Saccharomyces cerevisiae S288C: one gene and its partners. The gene in region 1 interacts genetically with each later gene. Each region holds a gene or a part of one and is shown in the gene's direction. Other genes may lie near its edges. The genes, in order: YTA7, HAL5, CHD1 and PSH1.

Region 1 (6,656 bases):
TTAGCGTATCTTTGTGGAGTATCTAGTAGACCTTCTCTGTTGACATCTTCACCCAGTTCGGTCAAAATTGTCTTGATAGCGCCTGAAATGCGTTGAATTCGTTCCTTTTCCTCCTCTTCAGTTTCCTCTGCACGTTGTCTTGTACCCACACTTGGCCAAGAAAACCCATCTCTCTCGACAGGAGGGTTTAAAGTGTATGGAGAGGTAGGTCTAATGTTTAACGGGGTTTCATGTCTTTCTATCTCTTGCACTAATTGGATGTTATGCATTTTGGGATGATTGAAAGTATTGGTTCTAACAAAAAATGAGTCACGCACGCACAATCACGATTGAGGATGGAGTCGTATAATATTTTATGAACGGATGCTATATCGATCAGACGGTTGGCACCGTAAAAATAAATGAAAGAAGTTAAAGAAGGGCAAATCAGTCGGATTATGTGATAAGTATGTAATAGACATGTTTGAAAATTAGGAGCATTAAAATATGCTTTTCATCCTACAGTTGTTCGGTCTTTTTTCTTTTCGGTGAGCGACACAGCTTTTCTACTAAGGCCGTACCGGGTCATCCAAATCCTAAATTTTCATGCGCTAATAGCGTTGAGGCTGGGTGATAATTCTGCCTACACCATGACAAAGAGGACATATATCTTCGTCCAACAGGAATCTGGTGCGTCCGGACCCTCTGCATTCACCACATAGCACGCCACCCAGGCGAGGATCCCCTGGTTGAACGTACAAGGGCCTATTACCCTGCCATGCGTTGGTGTACACGGGCATTGTATAGTTTGTGTAATATGTCGGTGCAGAAACAACGTTATTTTGAGGTGCAAACCTCCTCCAACACGACTTGCAAGATCGTCCATTCTTCAACTTGTAACCCGTATTTCCACACTTGGAACAGTAAAACCTGGGAGGGTATGTCCAGGGCAAGCTAGGATTCTGTTGTGGCCTCGGTGGAGGCCGTGGTTGGGAACTTGTAGGCGTATAAGAGTGTGAGTGAGCATATGTTTGGGATGAGGACGTTGCTGGCATTGTCGAGGGCCTTTGGTGGGGTCTTGATTGGTGCCCTTGCGCCAAGTTAGCTGCTGGTCTTGGTGGTCGTGGCGGTTGAGATTGCAATCTCTCCTCTTCCTTGATTACGTCCTCGTAGCTCGGCAGTTCATCATCATGCGTGTCTTTAGACATAACAGTATGGTTTATACTCGTTTTATGGGTATTTTTTGGGACTGCTTAGTTCTTGACTTGAAGCCTCTTTATTCCCTTGATGGAAGTGTCACTATTAAAGATGGAGGCGGAGGCTATACCGTAGAAAATGATATGTTTGTATGTTCTGCTCTCTTCCCTCTATTAAAAGGGGGAAAGAGAAAAATAAATGGAAAAAAGCGATTAAGCCATAGGGAAAACACTCTTGTGGTGGCAAAGCATCAGATAGGCAGGCAGGAGGAAATGGCAGTGAAGTGTCAAACCAAGCATACTTTCACTGGATTGATTTGAAAGTTAATGCTGAGTTTGAGATGTTTTAAAGAGGAACTGTGGTGATCGGTTATTTCTATTCGCTTTTGTGTGCGTCTTTTCATCGTTTGCAGCTGAACTTGTTGAGGCATTAGCCGCTGAGGAATTTTTTTCTGCCTCTATAAACTTGTTTATTATCACTAAAAACGTACCGTCTGTTATTTTGTACGGCCATGTGTGCGAAAAAGGACAAAGTGGTAGCGAAAGAGCAATATTGGGACGAAAAGGAGCAGAAAAGGAACTGCGTAGGGTCTTAAATAAAGCAAAACGTCTGAAGGATCTTGCGTACTCCTTACTAACCCATTGTTGTTTTCGACAGTCATAAAAAGAAGTTACCACGGTCTATTTCTCTCTTCTCGCTATTTATTCACAATTGGTGCAGAAAGAACATGGCACGAAATTTAAGGAATAGACGCGGTAGCGACGTTGAAGATGCAAGCAACGCAAAGGTTGGGTATGAAACACAGATTAAAGACGAAAATGGCATAATCCATACAACAACTCGCTCTTTGAGAAAAATAAACTACGCAGAAATTGAGAAAGTGTTTGATTTTTTGGAAGATGACCAGGTCATGGACAAAGATGAGACGCCCGTTGATGTTACTAGTGATGAACATCATAACAACAACCAGAAAGGCGATGATGAAGACGATGATGTTGATCTTGTATCACCGCACGAAAACGCCAGAACGAACGAAGAGCTTACTAATGAAAGGAACTTGAGAAAAAGAAAAGCGCATGATCCAGAAGAAGATGACGAAAGTTTTCATGAGGAAGATGTCGACGATGATGAAGAGGAGGAAGAAGCAGACGAATTTGAAGATGAGTATTTGGATGAAGACTCGAAGGATAACAACCGTCGGCGCAGAGCGGCCGATAGGAAATTTGTAGTACCAGACCCTGATGACGATGAAGAATACGATGAGGATGACGAAGAAGGAGACAGAATAAGCCATTCGGCTTCTTCTAAACGTTTGAAAAGGGCAAATTCTCGAAGAACAAGATCGTCACGTCACCCAGAAACTCCACCACCGGTAAGAAGAGCTTTAAGAAGTAGGACAAGACATTCGCGTACTTCAAATGAAGAAAATGACGATGAGAATGATAATAGCAGGAATGAAGCGTTAACTTTAGCTGATGAAATTAGAGAGTTACAGGAAGATAGTCCTATCAGGGAAAAAAGATTTCTTCGCGAAAGAACTAAGCCGGTAAATTACAAATTACCACCACCACTAACTGCTAGCAACGCAGAAGAATTTATAGATAAGAATAACAATGCACTTTCTTTTCATAACCCATCACCTGCACGGCGTGGTCGCGGTGGTTGGAATGCTAGTCAAAATTCTGGTCCCACAAGAAGGCTTTTTCCCACTGGTGGACCTTTTGGTGGCAATGACGTAACTACAATATTTGGTAAGAATACTAATTTTTACAACCAAGTCCCATCTGCATTCAGTGATAATAACAACAATAAATTAATACTGGATTCAGACTCTTCCGATGATGAGATATTACCTCTTGGCGTGACACCGAAAACAAAGAAAGAGAACACGCAAAAAAAGAAGAAGAAAAAACCAGAAATTGCAGACCTCGATCCATTAGGCGTAGACATGAATGTAAATTTTGACGATATAGGTGGTTTAGACAACTACATTGACCAATTAAAGGAAATGGTGGCCTTACCACTATTATACCCAGAATTGTATCAAAATTTTAATATCACGCCCCCAAGGGGTGTTCTTTTCCATGGTCCTCCTGGTACGGGTAAAACACTTATGGCAAGAGCGTTAGCAGCAAGTTGTTCTTCTGATGAAAGGAAGATCACATTTTTTATGCGTAAAGGTGCAGATATTTTATCCAAGTGGGTTGGTGAAGCTGAAAGACAACTCCGTTTGTTATTCGAAGAAGCTAAAAAACATCAACCTTCCATCATTTTTTTTGATGAAATCGACGGATTAGCGCCTGTGAGAAGTTCCAAACAAGAACAGATCCATGCTAGTATTGTTTCCACATTATTAGCGCTGATGGATGGTATGGACAATAGAGGCCAAGTCATTGTCATCGGAGCCACAAATCGACCCGATGCAGTGGATCCCGCATTAAGAAGGCCGGGAAGATTTGATAGAGAATTTTATTTTCCATTACCTGATGTTAAAGCACGTTTTAAAATTTTGCAAATTCAGACCAGGAAATGGAGTTCACCGTTGTCAACCAACTTCATTGATAAATTGGCTTTTTTGACCAAAGGATATGGTGGTGCTGATCTGAGGTCCCTATGCACTGAGGCTGCACTAATAAGTATACAAAGAAGCTTTCCTCAAATTTATAGGTCAAATGATAAACTCTTGGTGGACCCTTCTAAGATTAAAGTCAAAGTTAGCGATTTCATGTTAGCTTTGAAAAAAATTGTTCCGTCATCTGCGAGATCTACTGGTAGTTCTCCTCAGCCACTACCTGAATTAATCAAACCATTACTGGCAGATCAACTTAATAATTTAAAGAACAAGCTGGATTATATGCTGAACATTAAAGACACAACTTTTCAGAGAAACACATCATTGCTACAAAATTTCATCGATTATGAAGAATACAGTGGAGAGGAAGAAGAGCATGACAAATATGGAGGAAATGAAGATACATCCAGTTTTAGATCATATGAGTTTTTCGAATCGATGGCGGAATCACAAATTTGTAAACCTCGGTTATTAATAAATGGGCCCAAGGGAAATGGTCAACAATATGTCGGAGCCGCAATTTTAAATTATTTAGAAGAATTCAACGTCCAAAACCTGGACCTTGCCTCTTTGGTTTCGGAAAGTTCTAGGACTATTGAAGCTGCTGTAGTGCAAAGTTTTATGGAAGCAAAGAAAAGACAGCCCTCAGTTGTATTTATTCCTAATTTAGACATTTGGATCAACACTATTCCAGAAAACGTTATTTTAGTCTTATCAGGTTTGTTCAGATCTTTACAAAGCAATGAAAAAATTCTTCTATTATGCTTAGCTGAAAATCTTGATATATCTGAAGTTAAAAATGGTATTTTATCTGATTTTGCTTTTGATAAAAATATCTTTCAACTGCATAAACCATCCAAAGAGAATATAACGAGGTATTTTTCTAATTTAATTGAACTACTGAAAACAAAGCCAAGTGATATTCCCATGAAAAAGAGAAGAGTCAAACCGTTACCTGAATTACAAAAAGTAACTTCAAACGCAGCTCCAACAAATTTTGATGAAAATGGTGAGCCACTGTCTGAAAAAGTGGTATTAAGAAGGAAGTTGAAATCTTTTCAACACCAAGATATGAGATTGAAAAATGTGTTAAAAATCAAACTCTCAGGCTTGATGGATCTTTTTAAAAACAGATATAAAAGGTTTAGAAAACCACCTATTGATGATGCCTTCTTGGTTCATCTTTTCGAACCAGAGACAAGCAATGATCCCAATTGGCAACCTGCATATATAAAAGATGAGAACATGATTCTGGAGGTTTCAACAGGGCGAAAGTTTTTTAACATGGATTTGGATATTGTCGAAGAGAGACTTTGGAATGGCTATTACTCAGAACCAAAACAGTTTTTAAAAGACATTGAACTGATATACAGGGATGCAAATACCATTGGGGACAGAGAACGTGTCATTAAGGCCTCTGAGATGTTTGCCAACGCGCAAATGGGTATCGAAGAAATTTCAACCCCGGATTTTATTCAAGAGTGTAAAGCTACTCGCCAAAGGGATTTGGAAAGGCAGGAACTTTTCTTAGAAGATGAAGAGAAAAGAGCTGCAATGGAATTAGAAGCCAAAGAACAGAGTCAAGAAAATATACTGCAAGAACCTGATTTAAAGGATAACAAGGCTAATGAGTTTGGTGTAGCTGCTGGTAATCAATTGCAAGCTCAGCTGCAAACAACTATCAATACAGCCTCTATCGTTAATAACAGCGAGGTCCCTCAACCAATTGATACCAACCTGTATAAAAAGGAGATTCCTGCGGCAATTCCCTCTGCAGTAGATAAAGAAAAAGCGGTCATCCCTGAGGATAGCGGTGCAAATGAAGAATACACAACGGAACTGATACAGGCCACTTGCACGTCAGAGATAACCACCGATGATGATGAAAGGGCCAGAAAAGAACCAAAAGAGAATGAAGACTCTTTGCAAACGCAGGTTACGGAAGAAAACTTCAGCAAAATAGACGCTAATACTAATAATATAAATCACGTAAAGGAAATTCAATCGGTTAACAAACCAAATTCCCTCCACGAAACGGTAGAAAAAAGGGAACGAAGTCCGATACCAAAAGAGGTTGTGGAACCGGAGCAAGGGAAGAAGAGCGACAAGGAGCTTATTTTGACGCCCGAACAAATAAAAAAAGTATCTGCATGCTTAATCGAACACTGTCAGAATTTTACGGTTTCTCAATTAGAAGATGTTCATTCGTCCGTTGCAAAAATAATATGGAAAAGTAAATCAGCATGGGATAAAACAGGAACTGTCGATGAAATAATAAAATTTTTATCTGAATAAGCAGGAGTCCATAATGTTTATATAATTCTTAAATGTAGTTAGTTCATATACATGAATGTGCACTTTTCTTGAAAAGAAATAGATTTAAAACCACACCTTGTATATATATTATGCTTTTTTCCACTACTTTATTTTAACAGTCACTGTTCTGGCATACGTTTCGGGTAATGACCGAGAATGGAATATGTATTGAACATATTGAAATTAAACATGTTCATAATATCTTCTAACACCATTGGAATTGTGAGAAGTAGATCCGTACCATCAATAGCCGGCTCAAGATGTCAACTGAATACTCTGCTGATTCATCTAAATCATTTATGATTGCAATGCAATCTATGATTGATACTTCACAAACCTTTAATCTAGATAGATCGAAAATCTCTTTACCAGATTTTGATGACGAGCTAAAAAAAGTCCAAAAGGATGAACAAAATCAAAGAACTGAACTAACTGTTCTCTCACAAGATAGAAATGATTGGGATGATATATTTGAGGAGTTTAAAGACATTTCATTTGCTCAACTGCAATCTATAATTGATTCATACAAAACAAAGAATGCAGTTGCAGTATATAAAAAAATTGGAAAACTAATCAATGAAGCTGAAACGAC
Region 2 (5,182 bases), on another chromosome or scaffold:
ACTTTGCTTATGACATGATTCAACATAGTGTTGTTGTGGTTTTTTCTACGTAATCATGATGATCTTTTTTTTCGCGCTATTAGGGGGGAGGGAAGGCGGGATCTGGTAAAAGTTTGACATAATAATCAAGGGGGATATCGTATCCCTTTACTTGAAAACTTGAAAAATATTCATCTACTATCTCTGGCCAGAAAAACGTGAGAATTTTTAGGTGCGAAACATCATAGAAGCTGCGATTGTATCCATCTAAGAGTTTTAATTTGATAAAGCTAAGGAATCTGACCCTATACTTTTTTTTTTGTTTGGCTTGCTTGCATTTTCAATCGGCTTCAAAGGTAGCACAGAAAGTAGTGTTCTCTTAGCTTAAGCAGTGCATGAATTATAGCTGATTGTGTGAAAGAATCTTTTTTTTGGGTATGTCGACTGAAGAACAAAATGGAGGTGGTCAAAAGTCTCTAGATGATAGACAAGGTGAGGAATCACAAAAAGGTGAGACTAGTGAAAGGGAAACAACAGCCACAGAGAGCGGTAACGAAAGTAAGTCTGTAGAAAAAGAGGGTGGAGAAACCCAAGAAAAACCGAAGCAGCCACATGTCACTTATTACAATGAGGAGCAGTATAAACAGTTTATTGCCCAAGCGAGAGTTACAAGTGGGAAGTATAGTTTACAAGACTTTCAGATATTAAGGACACTGGGTACGGGTTCTTTTGGTAGGGTCCATTTGATTAGATCAAGACATAATGGCAGATACTACGCCATGAAAGTTTTGAAAAAGGAAATCGTGGTAAGATTGAAACAGGTGGAGCATACCAACGACGAGCGATTGATGCTTTCTATCGTAACACATCCGTTTATTATTAGAATGTGGGGGACTTTCCAAGATGCTCAGCAAATTTTCATGATTATGGATTATATTGAAGGTGGAGAATTGTTTTCTTTGTTAAGGAAATCCCAAAGATTTCCCAACCCAGTTGCTAAATTTTACGCAGCGGAAGTTTGTTTAGCTTTGGAGTACTTGCATAGCAAGGACATTATTTATAGGGATTTGAAACCGGAAAATATCTTGCTTGATAAAAACGGGCATATAAAGATAACAGATTTCGGGTTTGCCAAATACGTTCCTGACGTCACATATACATTATGCGGTACTCCCGACTACATAGCACCCGAGGTCGTTAGTACTAAACCATATAATAAATCTATCGATTGGTGGAGTTTCGGTATTCTGATTTACGAAATGCTAGCAGGATACACGCCATTTTACGACTCTAACACGATGAAAACCTATGAGAAAATCTTGAATGCCGAATTGAGATTTCCACCATTTTTCAACGAAGATGTAAAGGACCTGTTGAGTAGATTGATCACAAGAGACTTAAGTCAAAGACTAGGTAATTTACAAAATGGTACAGAAGATGTCAAAAACCACCCCTGGTTCAAAGAAGTTGTCTGGGAAAAATTATTATCTAGAAACATAGAAACGCCGTATGAACCGCCCATTCAACAGGGACAAGGTGACACCTCACAGTTCGATAAGTACCCGGAAGAAGACATCAACTACGGTGTTCAAGGTGAAGACCCATATGCTGATCTTTTCCGGGACTTCTAATGACTAATGTTTTGTTGTATTTTCCTCTCGTATCTATATTTTTTTTTTTTCATATTTTTTTCCCTCTTTTCTACATAACAACTATCCTTCGAAAACGAAATTTCAACCCCTGTATAGTTACTACGGAGATGGAACGGCGTTCACTGTTCTTGTAGATTGCATACATGATGTTATCGAGGCGTATTCCTACCATTAAAAGGGCTTTTATTCTACGCTTCTGTCTTTGATTTTCTACTTTGCTCGCCGCGCCACTTTCGAAAGCTTGCATCATGAAATGAAGGATTTTGCATATCGATTTTTTTTTTACGTGAGCCCCTTGGTATAAACCAAATAAAGGGCAATTGGTGGCTCCAAACAAGTCGGAATCTCCATTCTATACGTGTATATTTTAGGAAGCATTATAGTCTACGAAAAGATCCATTCTTTCCATCCATTTACTTTTAGAATACAAAGGAGATAGAGAAACTTGCTAAATAAAAAAAAAATTTTGAAAAAATAAAAACAATGGGAGATGAGAAGCTTTCACGCCACACATCTTTGAAGAGGGCCAGATCGCTCTCCGAATCCATTAAGGGTCTATTTAAGCCTTCAGGGATATCAGGCAGTAATAATGCTGCGGCTCCTTCATCTCGTCCCGGTCAGGACCAAGCACATTCTCATCAAACAGCAAGAATAATAACTAGCAACGTATCTTCCCCGTCTATATCCCCCGTACATAGCCCTGTTCTACAAGCGGCTCCTAAGCATCACAAACTGGGCGTCCCTAATATTGCAAAACTCTCGTTGTCACCTAGTAGGGAACCATCTTTGAATTCAGAAAATGAAATGTTTTCACAAGAATCTTTCATAAGTGAAAAAGATGAAGATGAAGCCAATTTGTTAGAGAGAGAGGATCTTCAAAATAAAAAGGAAGAGAAAGCTCGTGCAAAACATGTACGTTCCAAGGAAGCTTATGTGCCTCATCACCGCTATACAGTTGGTAGCGATGAGGTTGAAAGACAACCAAGGGAACGGCTGAAAAACTTCCCACAAAACGCAGGTTCTTCAAACCCTGCAAATAGTAATGCCAACCATGTTTTGGATCAGGAAAATAACTTTTCTATTGATGCTATGCTTGATTATGACGAAGAATCAAAACTTAGAAGGAGAAACAGTCTGGGCGTACGTAATCATAGCAATCGCACAAGAAGTAGGAAGAACAGTTTGTCCACACCAAGGTCACCACCAATGAAAAATGGAAATGGTGGAATGAATTCAAATGCCACCAACAATGTTGGTAATGGTACAGGAAATAGAATATACATGAGGGGAAGAAATCACTCAGACTCTATCAGTGCTTCCAGCTTACCGAAATTTCAAGAAATCGAATGTAAATGTATTTTGGATTTAGGTCATTTCAAAGTCTTTGAAAACGGATACCACGAACATTCTTTGAGAGTGCTGCCAATTATTACAAACAATAAAAATGTGGATAGTGGCGATGAAAAGGATGCTGACGCTTCTGTAAACAGCGGCGATGATGGTGACAATGACAGTGAGGCAAATATGCATAAACAAAAATCTGTGTTTTCTTTAAGTGGATTATTCAAATCTCATAAGGATGGAAACCAACAACAGCAGCAACAGCAGCAACAAGAAGAAAACGGCGAACAAATCAATCTAGAAAAAGCATTTTCAATAATACCATCCCAGAGATTCATCAAATCGCAGACTTTAAAGAAATCGAGAACGAGTAACCTTAAAAATGGCAATAATGATGAATTGATGAAAAACGATGGTAAAAATATTCCGCAAATCGTGAATCCTAACGCTGCTGTAGGTGTTGAAGAGTTGAAGCTAATCAATGCATTATCGGAAAAAATACGAAAGGGCCTTAAAAGTGAAAATACAAAAGGCAACAATGGCGAAGGCAGAAGCAATAGCAATAAACAGGAGGATTCTGATGACACAGAGGGCAAGGCAGGAACAACCAATGACGATACATCTCATAAACCTTGTTCACAAAAATACGGAAAATCTATTGGGGTCGTCGGTGCAGGTGCATACGGGGTGGTCAAAATTTGCGCAAGGTGCAAGACTGCTAAAGATGTCCTACCATACAGTACCTACTCTAATGGAAAAAAACTATTCTTTGCCGTCAAAGAGCTGAAGCCCAAGCCAGGTGACCAAATTGATAAATTTTGCACGAGATTAACCTCTGAGTTCATTATTGGACACTCACTGAGCCATCCGCATTTTGAGGCAAATGCGATGATAGCAGGAAATGTTTCAAGAACCACTCCACCAAAACATGTCTTCAATGCCCCAAACATTTTGAAAATTTTGGACCTAATGGAATATAGCAATTCCTTCGTAGAAGTGATGGAATTTTGTGCTTCAGGTGATTTATATTCGTTGCTAACAAGGAATAACATCTCAAATGAATCGAATAACGGGAGTTCAAGATTGATCCAAACTGTTAAAGAAGGTTCTGGGAGTCCGTTGCACCCATTAGAAGCAGACTGTTTTATGAAACAGCTTTTGAATGGTGTTCAATACATGCATGATCATGGTATAGCACACTGTGATTTGAAACCCGAAAATATCCTTTTCCAACCTAATGGGTTGTTAAAAATTTGTGATTTTGGTACTAGTTCAGTTTTTCAGACTGCCTGGGAGAAACACGTCCACTTCCAGAGTGGAGCCATGGGTTCAGAGCCATATGTGGCACCTGAAGAATTTATAAGGGATGCAGAATACGATCCGCGTCTGGTAGATTGTTGGAGTTGTGGTATTGTTTACTGTACAATGGTCATGGGACAGTATCTTTGGAAAATCGCCATTCCTGAAAAGGATTCTCTTTTTAAATCATTTCTCAGTGAAATTAAAGATGATGGACAGTTTTATCTATTTGAGGAATTAAGACATGTTAGTAGCGAACTGAATAGGTTGAGGAAAATTGCACTATATAGAACGTTCCAGGTCGACCCCACGAAGAGAATCACCATTGAACAATTACTACAAAGCTCCTGGATGAGGAAAACAAAATGCTGTGTAGTTTATAGACACTTACATACCAAGGTTAGTAAATAAAGATATACAAAACAAAAAATGCTTAAGTATTTATTATTACTGATACTGTAAGTAAATAAATAGACTGACTGAATAAATATATGGGGGTTATTTGCTCTTGTTTTATAAACAGAATATATATGTAAGTTTTTAGAAGATCAAAAGATCGATGTAATGTAGAGGCATGGAAACAATATTAAACATTAACTCTTTCCAGCTCTTCTCTACCAGCTTTGCTGTACAGAAATTCATTATACTCGTTACCGTTCTTCCACCAGTACCAATAAATTCCCGCAGGTATTAATACATATAGAAATTGAGACTTAAATCTTCTAAAACTATTGAATACAGCGTTATGGAAAATACCTTGTAATGGCTTTTGAGCATATGGAGACACAGCATATGAGGTTATACCTTTTTGCTTTGGACCACCCATGTGACCCCACCATCCCATGTAAGTTTTACCGCTTGGAGGACCCATTATCGTAGAAGTTTTTGTGTAGTGTTTTGTTGATTATTTG
Region 3 (7,140 bases), on another chromosome or scaffold:
TACTTTCGCAGTTTCATCCACGGTCTCTGGTCCGACGAAGGCCTCATTATCTATTGTACCAATGTACACCGAAGTAAGTAGTACCCGTTTACCCGATTTGTTGTGCCGAGGCAACTGTTCTAATGCTTCACCCAATTCTGCCTCGTGCTCCCGATTAGTTTCTAGATGCACCTCAACCTCATGTAGAGTGTACCCGTTTTGTTCTCTTACGTTCAAATACTCTCTAACCTCTTGAGCATGTTCTGGTGGTATATAATACACTACCCCTATGGTGACTAAGTCGTCGGGATCCTGGATAGGTGCACTTTCACTATACAAATTCACATTCTTCAAGAAGGCAGTTTGCCTTATAATATCCTCATACGGGATTAGTGTGGCCACTCTTCCTGGGTTTGCAGGTGTACCCCTATGATCAGTGGAACTTTGCCAGAACCGACGAGCAAAACCGTGAATTATTGCCGGTATTCTATGCGTGTAATGAGACGGAGGCTTGTAAATCAGAGATCCGTAGCCTAGGACCCAGATACCACTGTTGTCATTAGTCATTTGGCCATACAACTTTTTATAAGCCCAAACCAACGTCGTGATTGCTTCTTCCAAGGTTAAATCACCTCGAGACTAAACTCATAGCTAATATTGACCTTACCTTTTAGCGTTACCCAGAATACCAATTATCCCGCTCCTTGGCGAATCCAAAAAAAAAAAAAAGGAAAAATTACTGGAGTGGCAAATTTTCTCATTCTCTTCATATAAACCACTAGGGAGGACGTCGAAGAAAAGTCTGCTAGGTGTTGGTGACAACTTCCAAGCTTCCCTTAACACAAGGGAACTATTGATAACCGCTGGTTGACATACGCCTTTAAAAGAGGTCATACGTTGCGACACTCTCTCCCTCCCCTCTCACTGATGTTTTCTGTCTTCAATTTCTGGCAATAATCTTAAGACGAAGCAGTCAAGTCCTAAGGAAGAAAACGATTTTTGATTGTTTTAAGTTGCCACTACGTAGTGGTCAATATGGAAGCCTCTGCGCAATGGAGAAACACGGGTGGCATAGGTCAGCGAACCATACAAGCGAGAACACTCTCATTACTTTATGGATCATCTCAGTATTTCACCGTTCGAGGAAAATCTTCTTTCGCAGGCCGAAGTCACCGTGATATATTTGATACTTTTGAGATATCCTTGAAAGGTAAGCTTCTATGTTGTACGTTTATTTTTTTTAACTTTCTTTGTTTTAGCTTTTACTTCGATGATATGTTACTGCCCCATATACGGTAAAAGATCATACGTTGCCAAAATCAAAAGACATGATTGCCTGTATGTTTTCCTCAGCCCATCAATGCGTAATACGGTCAGCTAAACGCTGCTCACAAGCCAAGGGCTTGCGTGTTGCTCGCGCATCGGTTGGATATCACTGGTAGGCCACTTCTTCAATATTTTGAAAATGAAACACGCTAAAGTTGAAAACTTAATTATCAACCGTCCAGAAGGTGTAGGCAATTTCATCTAAGAGAATAAATTTAACATCCCACGATCCTTATCACATCCCATCCCTACACTAGGACATATGTTCCCAAACATTACAAAGTTCTTTCCTGATATCATTACTGATATAAGATTATGTCAATTATTGATACCATTAAAGACATGTAATATGCAACACTTGTCGAACAGATCATAGTTCAGTAGTCGATTATCATACTGTTACCCTCTCGTTATATAATTTTACTTTTTTTCCTTTCCTTCTTTTCAATTTCGAAACTGTACCACGAGAAACATTGTGTAGAAGAATCTTGTCCTCATTATATCTGGTTAGTACTATCGTATTCTTGTCCGGACATCTAAGTCAAGTTGATAAAAGTTTGGGGTTATCAAGTCAAGATAAGCAAGCTTGCAGAAGTCACCTTCTCTTTTCCGTTACTTCTTTTGTGAATATACACATACTTGTTTCTTCCAAAGGAGAAAATTGAATAAGCCTAAACATCGACCATCATTTTCTTTAATTCGTACTTGAGTTCCACTAGCTTACCTATTCACTAACGACAAAGTTTCTCAAAGGTTTTTATTTTTCATTTGCTTCAAGACTTTTCCGTTATTTCTTTAAACCTATACCCAATTCAAAGCAGAACCTTTTCTAATTTAATTCTCACTTATAATGGCAGCCAAGGATATTTCTACTGAAGTGCTGCAAAATCCTGAACTATATGGGCTGAGGCGGTCACATAGAGCTGCTGCGCATCAACAAAACTACTTCAACGATAGCGATGATGAGGACGATGAAGATAATATTAAACAGTCGAGGAGGAAGAGAATGACCACGATTGAAGACGACGAAGACGAATTTGAAGATGAAGAAGGCGAAGAAGATTCTGGAGAGGACGAAGATGAGGAAGATTTTGAAGAAGATGATGATTATTATGGCTCTCCTATAAAACAAAATCGATCAAAACCGAAATCAAGAACAAAATCAAAGTCTAAATCTAAGCCAAAATCTCAATCTGAAAAGCAATCTACAGTGAAAATACCAACAAGGTTTTCTAATCGTCAAAACAAAACGGTAAATTATAACATCGATTATAGCGATGATGACCTCTTAGAATCTGAAGATGACTATGGTTCCGAGGAGGCTTTATCAGAGGAAAATGTGCATGAAGCATCTGCCAATCCTCAACCAGAGGACTTCCACGGTATTGATATTGTTATCAATCACAGACTAAAGACATCTTTGGAAGAAGGAAAGGTCTTGGAAAAGACTGTTCCTGACCTCAATAACTGCAAGGAAAATTATGAATTCTTAATCAAATGGACAGATGAATCTCATCTCCACAATACCTGGGAAACTTATGAATCCATTGGCCAAGTCCGTGGATTGAAGAGGTTGGACAACTATTGTAAGCAATTCATCATCGAAGATCAACAAGTAAGATTAGATCCATACGTTACCGCCGAAGATATAGAGATCATGGACATGGAACGTGAACGTAGGCTTGATGAATTTGAGGAGTTCCACGTGCCAGAAAGGATTATTGATAGCCAACGTGCTTCGTTGGAAGACGGCACCTCACAATTACAGTATTTAGTTAAATGGCGTCGTCTAAATTACGACGAGGCTACTTGGGAGAATGCCACAGATATCGTGAAATTGGCACCTGAACAAGTGAAACATTTTCAAAACAGAGAAAACTCTAAGATCCTCCCACAATATTCCAGTAATTATACTTCACAGAGACCGCGTTTTGAGAAGTTAAGCGTGCAACCTCCGTTCATTAAAGGTGGGGAATTAAGAGATTTTCAACTAACTGGTATTAATTGGATGGCATTTTTGTGGTCCAAAGGTGATAATGGTATACTGGCAGATGAGATGGGCCTGGGAAAAACGGTCCAGACTGTCGCCTTTATCAGTTGGCTGATATTTGCTCGTAGACAAAACGGACCTCACATCATTGTCGTTCCTTTATCGACAATGCCTGCCTGGTTGGATACTTTTGAGAAATGGGCGCCTGATTTGAATTGTATATGCTATATGGGCAACCAAAAATCAAGAGATACCATTCGAGAATATGAATTTTACACCAATCCAAGGGCAAAAGGGAAAAAAACAATGAAATTTAATGTTTTATTAACAACATACGAGTACATCTTAAAGGATCGTGCTGAATTAGGAAGTATAAAATGGCAATTTATGGCCGTTGACGAAGCTCATAGACTAAAAAATGCTGAATCATCCCTTTATGAATCATTAAACAGTTTCAAGGTCGCCAACCGTATGTTAATCACAGGCACACCTCTTCAGAATAATATTAAAGAGTTAGCTGCGTTGGTTAATTTCCTAATGCCCGGAAGGTTTACGATTGATCAGGAGATTGATTTTGAAAACCAAGATGAAGAGCAAGAAGAATATATTCATGATTTACACCGAAGAATACAGCCTTTTATTCTTCGTCGGTTGAAGAAAGACGTAGAAAAATCACTTCCATCAAAGACAGAGCGTATTTTAAGAGTTGAATTGTCCGACGTACAGACTGAGTACTATAAAAATATTCTGACTAAAAACTACTCTGCTTTAACTGCTGGAGCTAAAGGGGGTCATTTCTCTTTACTGAATATTATGAACGAGTTGAAAAAGGCATCGAACCATCCATATCTCTTCGATAATGCTGAAGAGCGCGTCTTACAGAAATTTGGGGATGGTAAAATGACTCGAGAAAACGTACTAAGAGGTTTGATCATGTCTTCGGGTAAGATGGTTCTTTTAGACCAATTATTGACCAGATTGAAGAAAGATGGGCACCGCGTGTTGATTTTTTCACAAATGGTCAGAATGCTTGACATTTTAGGCGACTATTTATCCATTAAAGGTATTAACTTCCAAAGGTTAGATGGTACAGTACCATCTGCTCAAAGAAGGATATCTATTGATCATTTCAACTCTCCGGATTCAAACGACTTCGTATTTTTACTTTCTACTCGTGCTGGTGGTTTGGGTATCAACTTAATGACCGCCGATACCGTTGTGATTTTTGATTCCGATTGGAATCCGCAAGCCGATTTACAAGCAATGGCTAGAGCTCATCGTATTGGCCAAAAAAATCACGTTATGGTGTATAGGTTGGTTTCAAAAGACACAGTAGAGGAAGAGGTATTAGAAAGAGCACGGAAGAAAATGATTCTGGAATATGCTATTATTTCTCTTGGAGTGACAGATGGTAACAAATACACTAAGAAGAATGAACCAAATGCCGGTGAATTATCGGCAATCCTGAAGTTCGGTGCAGGCAATATGTTCACTGCCACAGACAACCAGAAAAAATTGGAGGATCTTAACTTGGATGATGTTTTGAATCATGCAGAGGATCACGTTACTACTCCAGACTTAGGAGAGTCGCATCTTGGCGGTGAAGAGTTTTTGAAGCAATTCGAAGTGACTGATTATAAAGCTGATATAGATTGGGATGATATCATTCCAGAAGAAGAACTAAAAAAACTCCAAGATGAAGAGCAGAAACGCAAGGATGAAGAATATGTTAAAGAACAACTTGAAATGATGAATAGAAGGGATAACGCCCTAAAAAAAATAAAAAACAGTGTTAATGGTGATGGGACCGCCGCAAACTCAGATTCTGACGACGATAGTACTTCCAGATCTTCTAGAAGAAGAGCAAGAGCTAATGACATGGACTCTATTGGTGAATCGGAGGTGAGAGCTTTGTATAAAGCTATTTTAAAATTTGGCAACCTAAAGGAGATTTTGGACGAGTTGATTGCAGATGGAACCCTGCCGGTCAAATCATTTGAAAAATACGGTGAAACTTACGATGAAATGATGGAAGCAGCTAAAGACTGTGTACACGAGGAAGAGAAAAATAGAAAAGAAATCTTGGAGAAACTTGAGAAGCATGCTACCGCCTATAGAGCAAAGCTAAAAAGCGGTGAAATAAAAGCAGAGAACCAACCAAAGGATAATCCGTTGACTAGATTATCTTTAAAAAAAAGAGAAAAGAAAGCCGTCCTTTTCAACTTTAAAGGTGTTAAATCTTTAAACGCCGAATCTTTACTAAGTAGAGTGGAGGATTTAAAGTACTTGAAGAACTTGATAAATTCAAACTACAAAGATGATCCATTAAAGTTTAGCCTAGGCAACAACACACCTAAGCCTGTACAGAATTGGTCATCTAATTGGACGAAAGAGGAAGATGAGAAGCTATTGATTGGTGTTTTCAAATATGGATATGGTTCCTGGACACAAATAAGAGACGATCCATTTCTAGGCATTACTGATAAAATATTCTTGAATGAAGTTCACAATCCGGTAGCAAAAAAGTCGGCAAGCTCCTCTGATACAACACCAACACCCTCAAAGAAAGGAAAGGGAATAACGGGTTCTTCAAAAAAAGTACCTGGTGCCATTCACTTGGGCAGAAGAGTTGATTATCTATTATCCTTCTTAAGAGGAGGCCTAAATACAAAGAGTCCCAGTGCTGACATAGGCTCGAAAAAACTCCCTACTGGTCCTTCCAAAAAGAGACAAAGAAAACCTGCTAATCACAGCAAATCCATGACTCCAGAAATTACAAGTTCTGAGCCTGCAAATGGCCCGCCAAGCAAACGTATGAAAGCCCTCCCAAAAGGTCCTGCCGCCTTAATAAATAACACGAGATTGTCTCCAAACAGCCCCACGCCCCCATTAAAGTCCAAGGTTTCCAGAGATAATGGTACAAGGCAATCAAGCAACCCCAGTAGCGGCAGCGCTCACGAAAAAGAATATGACAGCATGGATGAAGAAGACTGTCGACACACAATGAGTGCAATACGTACTTCTTTGAAGCGACTTAGAAGAGGCGGCAAAAGTCTTGATCGTAAGGAATGGGCCAAAATTTTGAAGACCGAATTAACTACGATTGGTAATCATATCGAATCGCAAAAGGGCTCATCGAGAAAGGCAAGCCCAGAAAAATATCGCAAGCACCTTTGGTCTTACAGTGCCAACTTTTGGCCTGCCGACGTTAAGAGTACAAAGCTGATGGCAATGTACGACAAGATAACAGAGTCTCAAAAGAAGTGAAACAATTTTTCTTCACCACATTTTCCATTGTTCCTTCCCCCCATAACTATAAACGTATTTATGTATATATATTTGCGTGTAAGTGTGTGTACTATAGGGCACCGTAAAGTAATAATGCTTAATTAGTTACTACTATGACCATATAAGAGGTCATACTGTATGAAGCCACAAAGCAGATAGATCAATCATGTTTAACGAAAACTGTTAATCGAAGATTATTTCTTTTTTTTTTTCTCTTTCCTTTTTACAAAGAAAATTTTTTTTGCGCTTTTTGCCATCACCATCGCAAGTTCTGGGACAATTGTTCTCTTTCGCTCCAGTTCCAAGGAAAGAGGTTTCTGTTTTACTTAATAGAAAGTGTCATCTTGTATTTTATATCTCTTCTTTCTTGTGTAAAATTCTTTAGTTTTGATTTTGTATTTTTAGGACAGTGAGCTACGAAGTAACATTTTTACTTAATAACCGTTTGAAGCATAGAGCAGGCCCTGGTACCACCACCTAATATCTGGCTTTTTATTCAATAAAAACTCAAAAAAAAAAATCCAAAAAAAACTAAAAAACCAATAAAAATAAAATGG
Region 4 (3,617 bases), on another chromosome or scaffold:
AACAAAACGAATAGAATGAGCAACATGAGATAAAACTCCGCCTCCCGTAGTTGAACCACCCAAACGTATAAATCCCTGAACAATTAGTTTAGATCTGAGATTCCTCGCTTTCATCATTTAGTGTAATTCATATTTTATATGATATATAGAATAAGCAACATCCCATGAATCAAGCTGATAATCCGTTTTGGCAACTGATTACTTCCCAAAGACTCCTTATATTAGGATTGTCTAGACACCCCGGTATTACTCGAGCCCTAATACAACAGTAAAAGTTTGTAAATATATAGAATTAATTGGTCACAATTGTTTGATGCTCCCCTTTCAATTAACGAATATCTATTGACTGGTATTTATATTACTATTATATTATCATATAAGACGTGACAAGATGACATAAAGACTAAGAAACAGTCATTAGATTCATATGAAAGCTAAATGCAAGGATAAATATTGTAATAAGATAATAAGGGCCTGCACATAAAAATGGGAAGAATAAAAAGAATAGTAATAATAATAATGATGATGACGATGATGATGATGATGATGATGATGATGATGATGATTATGATTACAATGTATTTGATAATATACTAGTATCACGAATATTACTAAATGGATGACACTCTAGAGTTTCATCTGAATAATTACCAAATTATTCACCTATCTCTTAGTAGTATACCTATTTTTTCGTTTAATTAGTGTCCTTATTGGCTTTAAAGTAATTAATGCAGATGGTTCATGGCATACAAAAAATACTTTGTTTCGTTTGTTTTTTTTTTCTTTTTGTTATGATTTTATTAGCCTAATAATGTCCTAGAGTTAACAAATGTAAATTGTAAGAGGATACATTACATCTACAAAAATTAAAACCAGTTAACTCTCTATCCTCATCCTTTTAATTTTGTTGAATAAGAGGCAACCATAAAGGTTAAGAAATAGCATCAGATGTAATGGAAGCTGAAAAATGCAATGATTGATTATTCAATAATAGTGAATAACGGCGTGTAAATGAATAAGAAATGGTAATAATAATACTGATGCCTTTTTATGGATTCCTATATCCTTGTGGAAAACCTCTTGAATACTGGGTGAATAATTTGATAATTGTTGTCATTCCATTGTTGGTGAAGGCTATAATATTATGTATACAGATTATAATAGAAATTTTCCTCGAGGATATAGGAATCCTCAAAAAGGAATCTATATTTCTACATACTAATATTACGAATATTCCCAATTCCGTTTTATACATTTCATTATCCTATTACATTATTAGTCCTTGCATTTCGCTTCAATCAATCTAACTGTTTCCCAATCTTTATGTTATCTTCTTACACTGCATGTGATAATATACTAGTAACACGAATACTACTAAAAAGATGATATTTTAAAGTTTCATTCCAACACCTCTAACATGTTCTATATACCTAATATTAAACCTTTATTAATAATGGAATCTCAACAATTGTCTCAAAATTCTCCCATTTCTCACAATCTTGTGCATTGAGAACTGTGCATCATTAAGTTTCTAAAATTTAGATCTTTCATAAAATATTAGACTCCATGGCCAAGTTGGTTAAGGCGTGCGACTGTTAATCGCAAGATCGTGAGTTCAACCCTCACTGGGGTCGTTATTTTTGAATACCCAATACTTTTTTTTCGGGCCATTTCACACAATGGCGTTTTTTATCCTATGTCCACTACAATTTAGATGAGCTCTCTTCTAGCATACAACTGCGATGAGGAATTTGATAATATTCTATTTTAAGCATTAAGTTTTCAGAAAACGAACGATCGCGTTTTTTCTCAGACAGAAAGTTTTAATATATTGATAAGAATAATGGGCGACGAATTACACAACCGTTTACTTCACCAAAACGATGGCACCAAGGACGCCATACTTTATAAGATAATAGAATCGTTAGTTTGCTCCATCTGCCACGATTATATGTTTGTACCGATGATGACACCTTGTGGTCATAATTATTGCTATGGTTGTCTGAACACCTGGTTTGCCAGCAATACTCAAAAAGAATTGGCTTGTCCGCAGTGCAGATCTGATATTACCACCATTCCCGCATTGAATACAACGTTGCAACAGTATCTATCATTCATTTTAGAGAAATTAAGGGACCAGAATGATGAATCTTTTAAAAAACTTTTAACAACTAAAACCAAGGAGGAAAATGATTACAAGAATGACAAGGAAAAGGACACATTGTTTGACAAAGTATTTAAGAATAGCGCATTGGCAGTGGCCGACGACTCGGATGATGGTATCACACGTTGTAGTAATTGTCATTGGGAATTAGACCCAGACGAAGTAGAGGACGGAAATGTTTGTCCCCACTGCAATGCCAGAATACGGAATTACGCAGGTGGTCGCGACGAATTTGATGAAGAAGAATACAGTGAAGGAGAGTTGGATGAAATCCGGGAAAGCATGCGTAGGCGTAGAGAGAATCGATTTGCGTCTACCAATCCGTTTGCTAATAGAGATGATGTAAGTTCTGAAGACGATGATAGCAGTGAAGAGGAGCCCATGCGAGAACATATCCCACTAGGCCGTTGGGCCAGGTCACATAATCGTAGTATTGCTGTGGATGCTGTGGATGATGAAGACGACGAAGAAGAGGATGAGGAAGAAGAAGAGGAGATGGATTCCGATTTGAAAGATTTTATAGAGGATGATGAAGATGACGAAGATGAAGATGGAAGTAGGAGGAATTTGGTATTGTCTGCACTCAAGAACAGACATGTAATTATTACTGATGATGAGGAAGAGGAGCAACGGCGACATGCTACAGAAGAGGAAGATCGCGATAGTGACTTTTACGAGCATAATGATGATGGTTTTGTAAGTGGTGATAGCCTTGATGAGGATCAGAAGGAGGTTACACGGATACAATCGAGTTCTGATTCCGAAGATCGTTCACTTTCGTATTCCGGCTCCAGCGATGTCAAGGATAACAATGACGATAACACGGAAGAATTAGATGACCCACAACCGAAAAGGCAGAAACGCTTCCGTGTAGTTCTAGGAGACAGTGACGATGAATAATCTGAACATTTTAACTAGCGGGAACGGCATATGTACGGAACTTTTATGTATGTTTTTAAAAAATTTCCTTTCTATCCTTATTACATTAAGATTTTTAAGCGATAGTAGGATCGGAAATATAAGCACTCGTTTATGATATAAATAGGTCAAGAATTTCGTAAAGTAAAATCAATACATATGTGAATCTTTTTTTTTTTTTTTTTGGGACTGCTATTGGTATTTTTTTAGCGTCACGTTAATCAGCCCAATTATGTGGGGGTTATGCAAGAAGCATTTTCCGAGCAATAAAATTCAAGTGCAGGAGAGAAACAAAGCATTAAAACCAAAGAAGAGTGGCAGCGAACATAAGACAAAGCAACTGTTTCCTGTATTCAATTGCAAGAAGAAGGAAAAAGGGGTAATGATACGGTTTGCGATTCTACGTAATGCTAACACATCTCTACTGTCCGCGAGAAGTATATGCTTATTTACCCAGGCGCCTACCTATTGTCATGTAAGGTTGAATACCTTGAATAAAAGCATTACAACTAAAAGAAATTCATTGACAGAGTCG

The links.
Region 2: mutations in YTA7 (region 1) and HAL5 together harm fitness more than expected from each alone (negative genetic interaction), as found in Saccharomyces cerevisiae (3 studies listed by BioGRID).
Region 3: mutations in YTA7 (region 1) and CHD1 together harm fitness more than expected from each alone (negative genetic interaction), as found in Saccharomyces cerevisiae (3 studies listed by BioGRID).
Region 4: mutations in YTA7 (region 1) and PSH1 together harm fitness more than expected from each alone (negative genetic interaction), as found in Saccharomyces cerevisiae (3 studies listed by BioGRID).

The regions. Positions count from the first base shown.
Region 1 is NC_001139.9:1,025,467-1,032,122, forward strand, and holds YTA7 (chromatin segregase YTA7), read left to right. Parts: upstream 1-1,903; coding exon 1,904-6,043; downstream 6,044-6,656. Other genes in the region: FOL2 (GTP cyclohydrolase I), read right to left, coding at 1-269; HUA1 (Hua1p), read right to left, coding at 591-1,187; SLH1 (RNA helicase), read left to right, coding at 6,325-6,656. UniProt on the Saccharomyces cerevisiae protein: Functions as an ATP-dependent nucleosome disassembly factor that helps evict canonical histone H3 from the 5'-end of genes upon their induction.
Region 2 is NC_001142.9:106,394-111,575, reverse strand, and holds HAL5 (protein kinase HAL5), read left to right. Parts: upstream 1-2,114; coding exon 2,115-4,682; downstream 4,683-5,182. Other genes in the region: cAMP-dependent protein kinase catalytic subunit TPK1, read left to right, coding at 417-1,610; QCR8 (ubiquinol--cytochrome-c reductase subunit 8), read right to left, coding at 4,858-5,142.
Region 3 is NC_001137.3:503,237-510,376, forward strand, and holds CHD1 (chromatin-remodeling ATPase CHD1), read left to right. Parts: upstream 1-2,155; coding exon 2,156-6,562; downstream 6,563-7,140. Other genes in the region: GCG1 (gamma-glutamylcyclotransferase), read right to left, coding at 1-546; PAB1 (polyadenylate-binding protein), read left to right, coding at 7,137-7,140. UniProt on the Saccharomyces cerevisiae protein: ATP-dependent chromatin-remodeling factor which functions as substrate recognition component of the transcription regulatory histone acetylation (HAT) complexes SAGA and SLIK. It recognizes H3K4me.
Region 4 is NC_001147.6:226,771-230,387, forward strand, and holds PSH1 (ubiquitin-protein ligase PSH1), read left to right. Parts: upstream 1-1,843; coding exon 1,844-3,064; downstream 3,065-3,617. Other genes in the region: AIM39 (Aim39p), read left to right, coding at 3,315-3,617.